4 linked regions of the Schizosaccharomyces pombe genome follow. The protein of the gene in region 1 binds, or shares a complex with, the protein of each later gene. Each region holds a gene or a part of one and is shown on either strand. Other genes may lie near its edges.

Evidence for each region.
Region 2: mrp2 (region 1) and mug178 share a complex: the UniProt entries of both Schizosaccharomyces pombe proteins name them as parts of the mitochondrial small ribosomal subunit.
Region 3: mrp2 (region 1) and cox24 share a complex: the UniProt entries of both Schizosaccharomyces pombe proteins name them as parts of the mitochondrial small ribosomal subunit.
Region 4: mrp2 (region 1) and rsm25 share a complex: the UniProt entries of both Schizosaccharomyces pombe proteins name them as parts of the mitochondrial small ribosomal subunit.

The regions. Positions count from the first base shown.
Region 1 is NC_003424.3:2,504,200-2,507,586, forward strand, and holds mrp2 (mitochondrial 37S ribosomal protein uS14m), read right to left. Parts: upstream 1,686-3,387; 5' UTR 1,646-1,685; coding exon 1,391-1,645; exon of another isoform or gene 1,342-1,390; coding exon 1,295-1,341; exon of another isoform or gene 1,254-1,294; coding exon 1,238-1,253; 3' UTR 1,066-1,237; downstream 1-1,065. Other genes in the region: AP-3 adaptor complex subunit Apl6, read left to right, coding at 1-1,065; mitotic spindle checkpoint WD repeat protein Bub3, read right to left, coding at 2,100-2,740, 2,786-3,107. UniProt on the Schizosaccharomyces pombe protein: Component of the mitochondrial ribosome (mitoribosome), a dedicated translation machinery responsible for the synthesis of mitochondrial genome-encoded proteins, including at least some of the essential transmembrane subunits of the mitochondrial respiratory chain.
Region 2 is NC_003423.3:3,446,003-3,450,280, reverse strand, and holds mug178 (mitochondrial 37S ribosomal protein bS1m), read left to right. Parts: upstream 1-2,056; 5' UTR 2,057-2,390; coding exon 2,391-3,068; 3' UTR 3,069-3,765; downstream 3,766-4,278. Other genes in the region: ade9 (trifunctional formate-tetrahydrofolate ligase/methenyltetrahydrofolate cyclohydrolase/methylenetetrahydrofolate dehydrogenase), read right to left, coding at 1-910, 1,178-1,314; AP-2 adaptor complex subunit Apl1, read left to right, coding at 3,949-3,975, 4,022-4,230, 4,268-4,278. UniProt on the Schizosaccharomyces pombe protein: Component of the mitochondrial ribosome (mitoribosome), a dedicated translation machinery responsible for the synthesis of mitochondrial genome-encoded proteins, including at least some of the essential transmembrane subunits of the mitochondrial respiratory chain.
Region 3 is NC_003424.3:4,761,093-4,764,790, reverse strand, and holds cox24 (mitochondrial 37S ribosomal protein mS38 ), read right to left. Parts: upstream 1,749-3,698; 5' UTR 1,713-1,748; coding exon 1,556-1,712; exon of another isoform or gene 1,514-1,555; coding exon 1,143-1,513; 3' UTR 569-1,142; downstream 1-568. Other genes in the region: ypa2 (serine/threonine-protein phosphatase 2A activator 2), read right to left, coding at 1-342; splicing-associated factor Saf3, read right to left, coding at 1,917-2,984. UniProt on the Schizosaccharomyces pombe protein: Component of the mitochondrial ribosome (mitoribosome), a dedicated translation machinery responsible for the synthesis of mitochondrial genome-encoded proteins, including at least some of the essential transmembrane subunits of the mitochondrial respiratory chain.
Region 4 is NC_003423.3:4,290,396-4,293,671, forward strand, and holds rsm25 (mitochondrial 37S ribosomal protein mS23), read right to left. Parts: upstream 1,568-3,276; 5' UTR 1,294-1,567; coding exon 631-1,293; 3' UTR 501-630; downstream 1-500. Other genes in the region: nucleoporin Rae1, read left to right, coding at 1-77; PPR repeat-containing protein Ppr7, read left to right, coding at 3,202-3,276. UniProt on the Schizosaccharomyces pombe protein: Component of the mitochondrial ribosome (mitoribosome), a dedicated translation machinery responsible for the synthesis of mitochondrial genome-encoded proteins, including at least some of the essential transmembrane subunits of the mitochondrial respiratory chain.

The sequences.
Region 1 (3,387 bases):
GGTGATTTTGCTAGTGCTAACATTTCTATGGCCCCCTCTTGTCTTAACACTTTATTGCTGTTACTTAAATCACATAATAGCCTTATCGTGACAGAAGCTGCCTCTTCACTTCGGCTTCTCATTCATAATGATCCTAAAGAAATATATCTGCAGTATTTAGCTGCAACGTATGAAACTTTGGAAGTACCGCGGGCCAAATCCGTTACACTATGGCTTATTTCGGAGCATATACTAATCATACCGCGACTAGTCCCTGATGTGCTACGCATTGCTGTTAAAACTTTTGCTGATGAGACATTAGAAGTGAAGTATCAAATTCTCGAATTATCGGTAAGACTATATGTTTTGTCTCATTCTGAAGAGAAGCAAAACGATTTAGAGTCAAGAGATGATGTCGTGTCACTACTTTTTAATTATGTTTTATCTTTGATACACTTTGACATGAGTTACGATTTACGAGATAGAGCTAGGTTTTACAAAGAACTAGCTAGTACACCGAGTTCTGAATTTACTAGGCGCATCGTATTGGAAAGCAAGGGGAATAGTCAAAAAGAAATTATTGCTTCTCGGGACTACTGCATTGGTACCGCTAGTTTATGTTTGAATGAAGACGTGATGGGATATGAGCCAATCCCTAACTGGGCTGATGTCTCTGATTTACCGCCTGATTCTGTCCGAGAAGGTATCAAGGATGTTTTGCCAATAAACCCTCATACGGGAAATATTTATTCAAACAATTCACCGGGTGTGAAAGCATTATCTTCTGATAACTTTAAACGTGATTTTGGAGATACTAACGCAATTAACCGTCCAAAATTTGTTGGCCAGCAAACGCTTGAAGAATTTTATGCTAGTGAAACTTCTGAAAGTTCTGAAGGAGAATATGAAACATCAACCAGTGAAAGTGAAGATGAAGAAACGGATGATACTTCTCAAGAGGAAGACAACGAAAAAAATAGTACACCTGATGAAGATACAGAGAACAACAATACCAGTTCTATATCTACTAAAAGTATAATGGATAGGCCGCTCACAGAACCTGAACCTAACTATTGGCAATCATAAACAATTGATAATGTAAATATTCAGTTTTGGAATGTAATCATGCAAATAATTGTACTTCATTTAAACGGCGAATAAATATTAGCTAATAATAAACATGATGGATTCACGGAAGATAATTAAAGCTTTTTATTTCAATAACGCTTATCATGGATTGAAATACAAACAACGATTATTACCATGATGCCTTGCTGAATGGATTAGTGACAAAAGTAAAAATGCTTATTCTTACCGAACTCCGGGTAATTTATTAGCTAGTGCTTTAAGTCGAAAAGGAAACTGAAATAGTCAGCATCAAAAATGCATTTATATGACATTATAATCGTACCCTTGCAAGTCCAAACGCACGAAATACACCTCGGCCTCTACCTGTCTCAATACAGCGATTTTTTATTTTTGTAGGATGTGCATTAGTCGGTAAAGCCTCAATCCGCTTTTTGGCTTCTAAACGCACCCGAAGAGGTAGCTCAGGATTTCTATATATATAGAGATTGCTTTGACGTTCAACTTCGTGTTCAGCAAAAAGTCTCCTACATAATAAATCACGAAATGCTTTATGCTTCAGGTGGCCCAAAGCCCTCATATTTTTTATTTCTGGTTTAGAAGGCTTCTCTGTTGTGTTCAAATTGTGAGTGTATTCTCAGTAGATGAAATAGTCAAAATAAATTACGAACTGCGCTAGCGATCTGTATAATTATAGTTATTTTAATAACTATAAACAATGTGAATAAGAGAAACAAAGTAAATTAGATAATTTCTACCAAATAGTGTCACATTGTTTTTATATTAAGTATTTTTAATCGTAACCCGTTCTTTATATAAATATGGTCTTGCGTTTATATTAATTGCTTATTAACTTAATATATATAGTGGAATAAAAAATAATAAATACCGTAATTATCACTTTGAAGCACTGAGGAAATATTGAACATTTACAACATTAAATAGGAGTGCTTCAAATAATATAAATTTCATATGTATGCAGTAAAAGAATCTGCATAAGATTTTACATGGATGAAGCTTTTTGATGAGCGATTTCATGACTTTAACTTTGGAGCTGCAAAGTTGGATTCCAAAGCATGAACATAGATATTACCAGCGGCTTCTTCTTGAGCACAAGTGGCAATTGCAAGCATGCTTCCGTCAACATTAAAAGAAATAGATGATATATTGATCTTTGAAGGATTTAACACTCTTAATCGTTTTCGGACTTGTATATCCCAAAACGCAACAACGCCATCTCCCCCAGCAGTTGCCAATGTTTGATGAATCGGATGAAATTTTAGGTCGTTAACTGGATAAACAATATCGTAGTCCTTTTGTATCTGCCGATGGCATTTAAAGGTAAAATTTTTGCTTTGCGCTTCCTGAGACGGGTTAATATATTCAACAGATGTCCTTCCCTCAATGCTGGAAGAAACGAATCCCTCAAAATTTTGGTTACAGCAAACACTTCGAGTCATATACTTAAAACTAGAAGGACGTCGCTGAAATGGAAGTTTTAAATTTCGAATATCGTACACCAAATTTTCTCTTTCTGAACAGCCTAGAACCAATATATTATCTCTCGAGCTACTTGCAAAAATTTTTTTTCCTATATCCTGTCCCTCGACAGGTTGCTTTACGCGAACATCCCAAACACGAAATGATTTGTCCCAAGACCCACTAATGAAACAGTCTAAAATGTTAATAGAATAGCTGGCTAATAAAATATATATCTTACTTTCCAAACGCAACTTAGAAATGCACGATACCCCCTTACCGTGGTTTCCTAAAAACTCATGGTTTCGCGTATTAAGATCGAGGGTAGTAACTGTCCCATCTAAATTTCCTACTAAAGCAGTTTTTTCATCTGTATATTCTAAAGAAAGAATAGGACTTGATAAATCGTATTTCCCTAAAAGTTCGGGATTTTCCGAGATTTGATAATGCAGTAAGCTACCATCCCAGCACCCTGCAATTAGTTCGTTTTTGACAGAGGGTGAAAATATTACACTTGAAATCCCGTCTTTTGAATTTTTTAGTAATGTTTTTGAGAAATTCATGGCAGACTGACAGATGACATGAAAAAGGAGTTTGGCGAGGTATAGGCCTTTAAATGTTGCTTCAAAAGGACAACGTCGAAGTTCGATGGTAATTGACCGAATTTTACGAAGATGAATTTCCAACGATGCCGATTATATTAGGTGTTAAACATAAATACTTACGTTTTCATACGCGCAAATTACTGTTTCAGCTTCTTTTCAACAAATTTTGACAGTCTGTGCCTCACAAGTATCTAAGATAAGCGAAGCGAATTGCTAATAGCTGTGTAAAATAAATTGC
Region 2 (4,278 bases), on another chromosome or scaffold:
ATTAGCAATTTCGATATCAGAAGGAACAGGCTTCTTTAACTCTAAAGGATTTAAGTCAATTTTTCGATAAATGTTTTCTGTTCTAGCTATCTTGGCAGCGTTTACAATATTTTCCATTAGCATAGCAACAGTCATCGGTCCGACGCCTCCAGGGACAGGAGTAATGCTGCTAGCAACTTTGGATGCAGATTCGAAATGCACATCGCCAACCAAAACGCGTTTTCCATTTCTTTGAACAGCGTTTATGCCAACATCTACCACAACAGATCCTGGTTTCAACCATTCACCACGAACAAATTCGGGTTTGCCTAATGCTGCTATAACCAAATCAGCATTAGAAATGTGCTGAATTAAATCTTTAGTTTTAGAATGACAGACAGTTACTGTAGCATTGTCCTTTCTCAACAAGTAGCTAATTGGATTTCCGACAATGTCACTTCTTCCCAGAACTACAGCGTTCAATCCAGCGACTGAAATCTTGTTATCTTTTAATAACTCCATAATACCTTTCGGGGTACAGGGATAATGAATGGGGGTAGCATCATTCTTTGCCAATAAACCAATGTTAAATGCACCAAATCCATCAACGTCTTTCGGCGGAGTGATAGATTCAGTAACTGTACGCTCATTGAGATGCTTGGGAAGAGGAAGTTGGACAAGGACACCGTGAACCGTATGATCGTCATTCAATTTTTTTAATTCATGAAGCAAGGCAGGCATTTGGATTGTTTCAGGAAACGGGCAGTATTTAAAATCAATACCAACTAATCGTGCCGCCTTTTCTTTCATTCGAACGTACACGTTAGAATCCTCACGTTTTCCAACCTGTACAATGGCAAGCGCCGGCTTAAAGTTTCGATCCTTAGCTTTCAAGGCCTGCACTTCTTCAGCAACAGAACGTTGTAATTTTCTAATTAGTCGCTACATTAGTAACCTCAAAGAGAAATAAAAATATAAAGTTTTAAGAGCAAAAAAATCTGATGAAACCTCAAACGTGCTGCAATGCCCAATACAATTTTTTAACTTCTAAGTATCGACAAAAAAATTGAAGAATATACGGAATTAAGCAATGTACGCAAATCAATTTTCAAACCACCAAAATTTTATCGTCAAAGACAAACACAGAAATGCACGCTCATCTGCATAGAGAAAATTTAGAATATAAACTTTATCTTACCTTGCCAATAATTTTCCATTTAGGATATTCGCAGAACTTGAAGTACCATACGACTGAAAAAGCCATTTCGATGGCCGTAAGCTGTTGCTTTCTAGAAAATAGTTTCGTAATTGATTAAACGAAACCATTACGTTCATAGAAAGACACCCAGAAGTGGTAGGGTAGTAAGGGAACCTGCCTGTCCTCTGGTGGTGTGTTAAAGCAAAATTTTTATTGGTAGTCAGGTAATCTATGTTGAATAATACGCTTACAGTAGAATATGAACCGAAACATTTTAATAGCGATTGTATTAAAGCAATGTATTCATTCTCGTATAATTTATTCTTCAAGCTCGAATAGTGACTGGAACAATTGCATTATTGCAAATCATAATGTATTGAACAAGTAATAATATACCTAAGCCTTTGAGATAGCTAATAAGCACACAAATAGTCAAAGAAAAAGTTTAAAAATCTGTTACATGATATACAGAATCTCAAGATCAAATATAATAGACAAATATAAACAACAAACGATCTGACAAGCAACTCATTAATTATCAGTAAATAAACTTAGACTAGAAAAATCATATAGTTTAGTTTAGTAGAGATAAACTCATTAATGAACAAGGAAGAACACACAAATTTACCGAAAGTTAACCTTTATAAGTTTCACTTTTCTTATGATAGCCATACCTTTAGTATTACTAATTTATAATTATAAAAAAAATTCCCGTTAAATTTAATAAGTACAAGCTAAAATCGTACTCAGTCATGGTTTACTCGAGTGTAAACAATTAAAGCACTCTGTTTCTCTATCCAACAGTGTGCGAGTCAAGTAACATTGCTACTTGAGGAGAGTGAACGTTTACTACACAACATGCCGACATGACCTCCTAACGAAAGCGATTCTATAACTTCAAACTAGCTATTGTAACATTGGCCATAATTTTGTATATTAATAGAGAGAATTTCATCTCGTATATACTTTTCATGAGTGTGCACACTTGATGTAAAACACTTCGCAAGCTGGATTGCACGACAAAAGTATATAAATAGCTGGCATCAAAAAATTACAGTCGTATTCGTGTGTTTTCTGAGTGATTGCTATTGATATTGACAATATTGACTCATTAGAAGTACCCACTTTCGTTCAGCAGTTACTTTTCGGTGGTGGTTTACATTGGGCAGAATTTGGATGTTTCTGACAAAGTATATCTTTAATCAAAATTATAATGAAGTTTCCTGATTTGTTGAGATGCTCCCGAGCAGTTAGTTTAGCAAGACCAGACTTGCCGAGGAACTCCCCTGATGTCTATGATACGAAGATTCCCATCCTACAAGCAATTACTGCGAAGAAATGCCAAAGATTTCGCGGCGATTGGGGAGCTAAGAGGAAGTTACCGATCCTAAAAAACCGTCATATTTCCATACAAAAGTTTGACACATTCGAGCATCAGTGTGCCTTCATCAGCAGTGACAGATTCGTACGCACCTTGAAACGAATTTACGACCTTAAGCTCCCTGTTCCGCTTAATGATTATGAACAAATTTCCCCTTACCTTTTACAGAAATACAACACTTTCTCAAGCTCAAATCCTAAATCCAGACCTACACTTCCACCAGGTATATTATACGCCAAATTGAAACTTTTAGATTCTTTTTCTGATTCTGAAAAGAAGCGCCTAAGTTTAGTATCCTTTATTCAAACTAAAAAAGTCCCGTTACCATTTACTTACGGAAAATTTGCACCCGACTCTAAAGAATGTTTATTTGGTGTCTCAGGAGTTATAGCTGCTACTTCTCTCAAAGGAATTACTTCAACAAAAAATCGATACGTAATTCGATCTCTTAATGTCGATGAAACCGGTAAAACCATTCCAAATATCACACGAGAAAATAGGAGTATTTAATACCATAATACAAGTTGACATTGACAATAAAAAACAGTAAAACGATTATTTCTCCCGTGAGTCACTTCGGTTTTCTTAAAACAATAGCTTTTCTTTCAAGGAATTGTTTCTTAATATTGTTTTCGTCTGTTGATAATCGTCTATTATGAAGATCCATCCATATTTAACATTTATTTCATCTGCTTACGATCCTGAGTTTTTGAGTTAGGGAAATTAATTGCACGGACTACTTTCTCCTTGAGCTATCATGATATGCCTTTAAGATCATTAAATATTTTTAACCGTTATTTTGCATTGTAGTGAACCGCTTTTTTCTCCCTCTTTTTGTTCATGGAGAGATTCTATACACCTATTACTTTTTCTAGGAAATAATATTGTCAACAAGCTTGTTTATTATTCCCACCATTCTTGTTTAAAAAAGATTGAATTTTTATTGTTTGTTTTTTGAGTGATTTTAACTTATTTTGGTTCTTGTAATTTTCGTTATGGCCGTATCGCATTACTGGAAACCTACGATGTTCCTAAGGGTGTCCGTTTATATTGAACTCTGTTTGGTTTATATTATGTACGCACGTGCTAAAAAATTTGCATAAATAAATTAATAAGCTTATATCAATCAACGCTTCCCGACAGTGTATTAAATTGTAAATCCGATAAACTTTGTAAACGTCTTTTGAATTTGCTTCTTAATTACCCAGTTACTCTAGTACCTACTAAGAGATAAAATCGTGTTTTATTAGCAATCATTATTTTTCTTTTCTTCGTACAATCTTTTATTCAAGCATTTTACTGTAACTCGTTATTTTGCTTTGTACAATAACACTCAGTATTATACCACAATACATTTTGAATGTTAACACGTACATAGCATGTTGTTATAATGTCGAGTAGTTCAAGTCATTTTTCGGTAATTTAACTTTCATAAAATTCGGAATTACTAACTTAAACAAAAGTCTACCGCTGCTGATTTGCTAGCAGTCTTCAGCTCAGATAATAAGGACAAATCTGCAAACAAACGAATTTCTGCTTTAAAGAAAGCAATTGCAGGCATATCTTATGGATATGATATGAGTTCACTGTTTCCATCGGTGATATCTTCTATGGAATCTAATAATCTAGAATTAAAAAAACTATGCTATTTGTACTTGAAAATTTACGCGAGGTTTGTAAAAGTTTCTTTATTTTTTACTAATTGACAGCGTGAAACCCA
Region 3 (3,698 bases), 2.3 Mb from region 1:
CTCAATTCCAAATACTTGGTGCAACTTTGGTGTTTCAATGTATACCTGATCGTAAAATGATTGAAATGCAGGATTGCCAAACCTCGACCCCATATTATCAATTGCAGGATTTTCCTGTTTAATTTCTCCAACTCGATCTAGTATATTTAATACATGCTCTATTGATGAGCTTTGCGGAATTGAAGCTGAAATAGGCTTGTCTTTCACAGCTTCGTCAAGATCACAAATAAACGAATCAATTAACTTATAAGCATCTCCTTCTTTAAATAATTTTAAGTCTTCATTGTCTAAAATTCGTCGGACAGGAACGAAACACCGGTTTTGCTCTTCTCTAGAAAGCATGTTGGCATAACTTGATCGGTTAAGACAAGATTAACAAAAGCCTTAAAAATTATACAGTTGGACGCTCTTCAATATTCCTTATGTTGTTATTTGTTATGTCAGTCGTCAGTACGTTACATTTCATTATTGTAATTAGCTATAATCAGTGAGAACATTTTTTAAAGAAAGAAATGTAGAAATTTTTTTTTTTTTTTTCAAAATTGTTTTAAGGAAATAATTTCGACTACTAAAGTTATTTTTCATACCAATGTGTTCTTTTATTCTATGTGTAAACAGATACAGTGTAATAAGCGTTTATTAATTGCTTGATATACAACAACATATTTATGATTCACATGAAGTGTACATGTCATTAATTCTAGCCATCGACAAATATTTAAAAATATAAAAAGGAAGGGCCAAAGATGGAGGTATTGTAATAGTACTAGACATGGGAAGCTAATTGATATGAAGGAGATAGCCGGCATAAACAAATAAGTGCTCCGCTTTTTGAAAATAGTTAAATAAACGCGGATTGTTTAATGATTTTATCGCAAGAAAAAAGCACCGACCTAATTGTCTCATACCGGAACATTAAAGGATAGAATATACATGAGAGAAAATGTATTCCTTGTTAAAAAAGCCTGAAGTAAACATTAAATGATTAAACGTTTCTTAAGAAAAGAGAGGTACTGATATCCAAGTTAAAAATAGAGACTCATAAATGCTTGCAGCCATTTTGAAAATGCTTGTTTACAGCTTAAACTCTCAATCCAACCAACCTAAAAATATAACCCGAGTAAAAATAAGTTCTAATAATCTCATTTTCCTAGACGTTTCCTAAGTGCTCGTTGTCGGCGTAAGCGCTTTTTGAACTTATGTTTATTCATTTTCAATTTTCTTTTTCGTTTGACACTGGTCAAATCTAAAGGTGTAATAGAAATCAGCTTATCACATATTTGTTCCCATACTTGAGTAGATATACGAGCGGGTTGAGTTTGAGTTACGGATCCAGATGCAGAGAATGATTGAGCATACAAATAGCCATCCTCTAAAGATAACACATATTCCTGGGGTTGATCTTCCTCATCCTGCGATTGCGAAACTTGTGTTTTGGACTCAACTTTAGGCACACATATTTGATTAGCTGACAAAGGTCGATATCCAGCAAAGAAATTTGCTTTTGCGATTTCTACGCAATGAAGTTAGAAATAGAAGTATTTAATTTACTTACGACGATATGAAACGTGTGAAGTTGTAGGAACCGTTGGTAGGTTATATTTCGACCCAACTTCGGGAGAAGCTGAAACATGCCAAATCGGTATGGGACTACGCAGTGAAAGGCCGTTTAAACCTTTTAATATTGTGGAAAGCGCACCTCTTCGTAACATGGGTGACCAAGGCGAAAAATGTGTTGTACTCTTTGCACTGCGGGAAGGTAAGAATTGGTATGCTTATGCTAAACACTTACAAAGAGGAAGGGTGGTGCACATTTGATATTAATTCAGAAGAATGTTGTATTTAAATATATATGTGATGTTAAATAAAATTAATGCTAAATGAAATACAAAATTGTCCTTATGTATATACAGATGTTAGGTACGTTTTCGCTTCGAGAGTGGGCTGTCAGAATGAAGTCCACCGAGACGATGCAAATTTTTTTGCAAGATTGGGTTTTTAGGATCATACCAAGCAGATCCTTCTTTTGTAGTATCTTCATTTGCCAAATGCGTCCAGCGTGTTTGGCCTGCCTTCGCAAAAAGATCTCCCCTAATTTGCATAGGTTTGGGTAATAAATCTTTATTAAGAACTTCCCCTTCTGTGGCTTCTGAATAATCTCTTTTACTCACAATATCTTCGTTTTGATAGAATGCACCCTTATGATAGTACTTTTGTAAGAACTGCATAGATGACTTTTTCTTTCCTCTCCGACTTGCTTCAGCGTCCTTCAAATCTTGGGCTTCGCGTTCCTCAGAATTCATTAATCTTCTTTCTTCAATTGCCATCTTTTCCCTTTCTAATTCCAGTGACTTTTCCTTGTCTCTCTTTTTCCTAAGCAAATGCCTTAATTTCCATAATTCATATTCACTTTGCGGATCAATTCCATCGGTATCATCGATATCATTTAATAATTCATTATTGTTTTTAGTTTCTTTCAATAGTAATTCCCGTTTTATAGTCTCTTCTAATATTTTTTGTGAAGTCACTTTTTTAAGCACCTCAGTATCTTCTTCATTGGCTTTTGCCCGATTTTTGATGACTTTACTAGTAAATTTTGGCGGAAGAAGAAGTGTCCGCCTTCTCAGCTCCATCTCATATTCCGAATCAGAAGAGTCTTCTTCTTCAGAACTAGATGCTGCAGAGTTAGATCCCCCTTCTGCCGATGATGCGTCAGTCTCATATTCTGAAGCAGAGTTATCAATTGTTTGGACTGGGTTAATGTTTTGGAAATTAGAAGACGTTTTGGTTTCAGATATTCCTTCTTTCTCGAATACTGGAGTAATAACATGTCTTGATGAAGAAATCGAGTTTTCTTGATCATGTGAATCGGAAACTTCTTCATAATCACTTTCAGAAGAAGACTCACTTTCCAGCCCTTCCAATCTACCAGAGCGATATCTTGAAATAGGTTTATGGGGTATCAACGGTGTATCTATTGGCATCTTGACAAACGCTTTTTATTAAATTGGTTGGCAAATTTCAATCAACCGGTAAAACAATATAAATATGAATTGGAAATTATATATCTATTATCTACCACCCAAGATAAAACTGTATATCTGATATAATAGATTGTATGTATGCAATTTGTGGTACGGTGCCACTTACAAAGAGGTTTCGGGGCACTTACCAATGCGAGAACAAATATCACAAGCACACATTCTAGTCAAATGAACGAGAATCCTGGCATAATTTATATTTAGCTGAAAGTTTGTAAAATTGAATTGCCTTTTGTAAAATACATCGTTTCAGTTTATGGTCAATGTAATGTATTTCCAAAAACAACCGTTGTCAACCCTTTGAGACCTTCATAAAAATTATTTAGATGCTACATACAATATATCCTTTGAAAATACCCTCCTATAATTAGTAAAAATGATGTACTTTTCAAGATCCTAAAATTCGTTGAAGTGGTTTTAAAAAATATAGAGTTCTTGACTTGAAATCTGTCAGCATCTCACTTTTTCATACCAAAATAACTTTGAAGAAATAAAACCAAACGTATACTTGTAATTTTGTTATATTGATTATATTTCTCAATTCAATTCACCTTCTAATTCTAAATACAGATAGCGAGCGCTGGCAACTAGCAACAATAGTGAAGTTAAGTTCAACTATCGTAATATAACCATTAATTGAGAGTACATACTTCCCAG
Region 4 (3,276 bases), on another chromosome or scaffold:
CGCAATTGCCCAATAAAATCATGCTCCACCCTGTTCCGCAAGACGAAATAAAACCTCGACCTAAGAAAGGAAGGTAAATGATGGTAATTTTTAGAGTCTACATAGGTGAGATGGTGACCAATCCTGTTGAGGCATGAGTTTGGTTTTTTTGATATGTATCTTAACTTTTTGTTTGGGAAAAAAAGTGGCATTTCGTGATTCATGACTAAAATCAATTACTGGCAATCGTTTAATATTAGAAAAATTTTTCCTTTCCTGACAAAAAGTGTTATGGGTATAGACGCTATCATCTTCTTATCTATGTTGGCTGCTCAATAAATGATGAACTTTTTTTAAAGCACTTTTAAAAGTTTGGAGCGAAAGTTCGCTAGCTGGCTAAACGGCAGTGTCATCTGAAAAGCTTGCTATAGCTTTGAATAATATTTATAATATATATATATGTATTCAAATAGATGGTAGAAATTTAATGTGTTCTGATAGATTGTTTTAATTTGAAGACATAAAGAGATGAAAAATATCTGTTTTATTTTTGAAAGGGGATAGTACTAAGAAAATTCTGAAAAAAAAAAAAACAAAACAAAAATCAATTTTTGAGGAGACAATATGATATATCAGCTGTGAATTTAAATACTACTGAGTCGTCTTAGAGATATCTACACTCGGGTCTGTGAACTTTGTACGATTAGCCTCAGCGTATTGTGAAGCATTATCAAACCAAGAATTTAAAGCATTTTGATCCATTTCATAGCCCAACTCCAGATCAGATTTTGTAAATACAGCACCCAATGCTTGAGCCTGATCATGGGCAACGCGTTGCTGAATTTCTTGTTCAGCGCGTAGGTGATAAAATTCCTTTCTTGCTTGATCATAAGCATTTTCTACAGGCATGTTAGAGTTTTCAATCAGCCATAAAGTTCTTTGCACTACACTCTCGCCAGATAATGCTTTGCGCGGTTGATCCATGTGACTCCAATCACAATATTGCTGATCATTACCGTCATTTTCTGCAATGATTTGAGGCCTTGCTAGTTCCCAAGGATGATCTCGATAAAACCTTTTACGGAGTTTATCTTCTGGCCATTGAATTTCCTGAGGCTGATACATTGATTTTCGTAACCGTTTACCACGGGATTTTACCTTATTTGGATCGTACAATGGTACAATACGTCTAGCATATTGAAAGGTTGGGGGATGTTTAGCAACCGTTTCGTACCATAAAGACTCTGCTGTCCATGGCTTTTTCATTTCAGCTGCAAAGCTGCGTAGCAAACCATTTGCATTAAATTTCGGCATTGGATCTTCCTCCTGAAAAAGTTATTAAATAGTATATTAGTAAAATAATCAGTAATAGAAACGTGAAAATGGAAGTAAGGATTGAATAATGATTGAGATGGGTTAATTATGCAAAACACATCCACGGCGCTATAAATAATGGAGAGTATGACTTGAGGTAATAAACAATCGCTTATATGGATAGTCTGCTAAAAAAGTGAATTATAAGCGCAAGAAACCAACTTTTTTGGTGAAAATGGCTTCCAAGAGGAATTGGGCTGGCCAAGCTAGTGTTAGCTGACGGTACTAGTGTGCCTCATCTTAGTAGCTACTGAGTATAACCTAATGGTAAGATATTATGAATATTTATTTCAGAACACACAAGGATACGAACACTATTAATGAAATAGTTATTTATAAATTTAAACACATCTATTGCCTTTTTTTTGCTAAGATATGGCTTGTTTGTAAATTCGGAATTTAAACTAAGCGATTGTTCATCTAAATTAATTTTATGGATTGAAAGTCCCTATTATTTTTTAGATATTTTTTTTATAATTGCTAAAGGTATATAGAGTTTATTGCCTTTATTTTTTTATATTTTTTTATCAATCGTTAACGCCATAGGAAAGCAAGTTAAACTGCTTAAAAATTTTTTAATACTTAAAAATTTTTTGTTATGGAATAAACTTTTTTTTTTTTATACTTTTAATTTTCACTGATTTCATTAAATATTTACCGGCAGCCGTTAGAATTATTAATAACAATGGTTCAAAAAACTCCAAAAAAATTTTAAGATTAATTAGACAAAATCAATTATATGTTTCGTAAAGCAAATTAAATGGCTGTACTGTATTTGTGAAGCTGTATGCGTATTTGCTAATTTGATTTTGTCATAAACTGACTGAGTAAATTAGCGCAGCAAATGCCGCTACACCTAGCATGTTCTGAAGTGAAAATGAAGTGCTGCAAATATTTAAAGCCATTGATCGTACAGTATTATTATGAATGGACATCAACTACTTGAATTCTTGCCTGCTCATACATTTTTAGCAGTTATTTTCATTTCTTCACTTATAACGCAGTCATATTTATACTCCGTATTTGATTTTACCTGCTAGCTGGCAATCTCAATGCTAGAATACGATATTCGCTTCTGGATGATGAGTGTTATATAACCTAGGTAAGGTTAATCTGTAGCTTATAACGAAGAAGTAAGGTAAATAGACTACACTTGTGTTCTTTGACGAAAGTGTATTCGATGATATTGTAAATGCTGATTAAATACTAATGAGTCAACAAACGTGCCTAAATGCTGGTTGCATTCAATGCCATTCCTATATATGATGATGGCCGATTGATCGTTATTCATTAGCGATTCTTAAGAGGATCGATGAATGATAGTTTAATAGTTTAGAGGGATATTCTGCATTTAATTATATTAAGGGACCTCTTTTTTACTCATGAATGTTCTTTCCATGTTTACACAATAACGAGCTATTATAACAAAATAACGTAAATAAACTATAGCGATGGTTTCCGTTAATTCACTAACGCTGCCTGTTAATGAGGAAATAGCAATCTTAGGTTTTGCTTAGAACCCAACTTCGCAACGTTGGAAGGTTTGCTCAGTTAGCTGTATTTATACCACCTTCTGTTTTTTGGAAACCTTGGATGAAATGTTTAGATGCATTATTGAGCCTTTTCGCACAGTTTAATGTTTGAATTATCGCATCATATAGAAAGGGAACGGAAGTATATGCATCATCTCGTATCGAGTTCTCGTTTTCTTTTTTTATCAAGTACCCCCTTCTCTCATTAATAGTGATCCTTTTAATTTGATTATCGTTTCTTTTCTTCATAACGCGTCTTTTCGTTTCCACGCCTCTCGTTTTGGGGACGACTTTTGTCTGCTTGCCAGGCTAAGAGATGCGAAATTGTGTATCTCCACTACTTTTTGCATGGACAAAACATTTACGTTTAAGGGAATTTAAAATCCCTTTC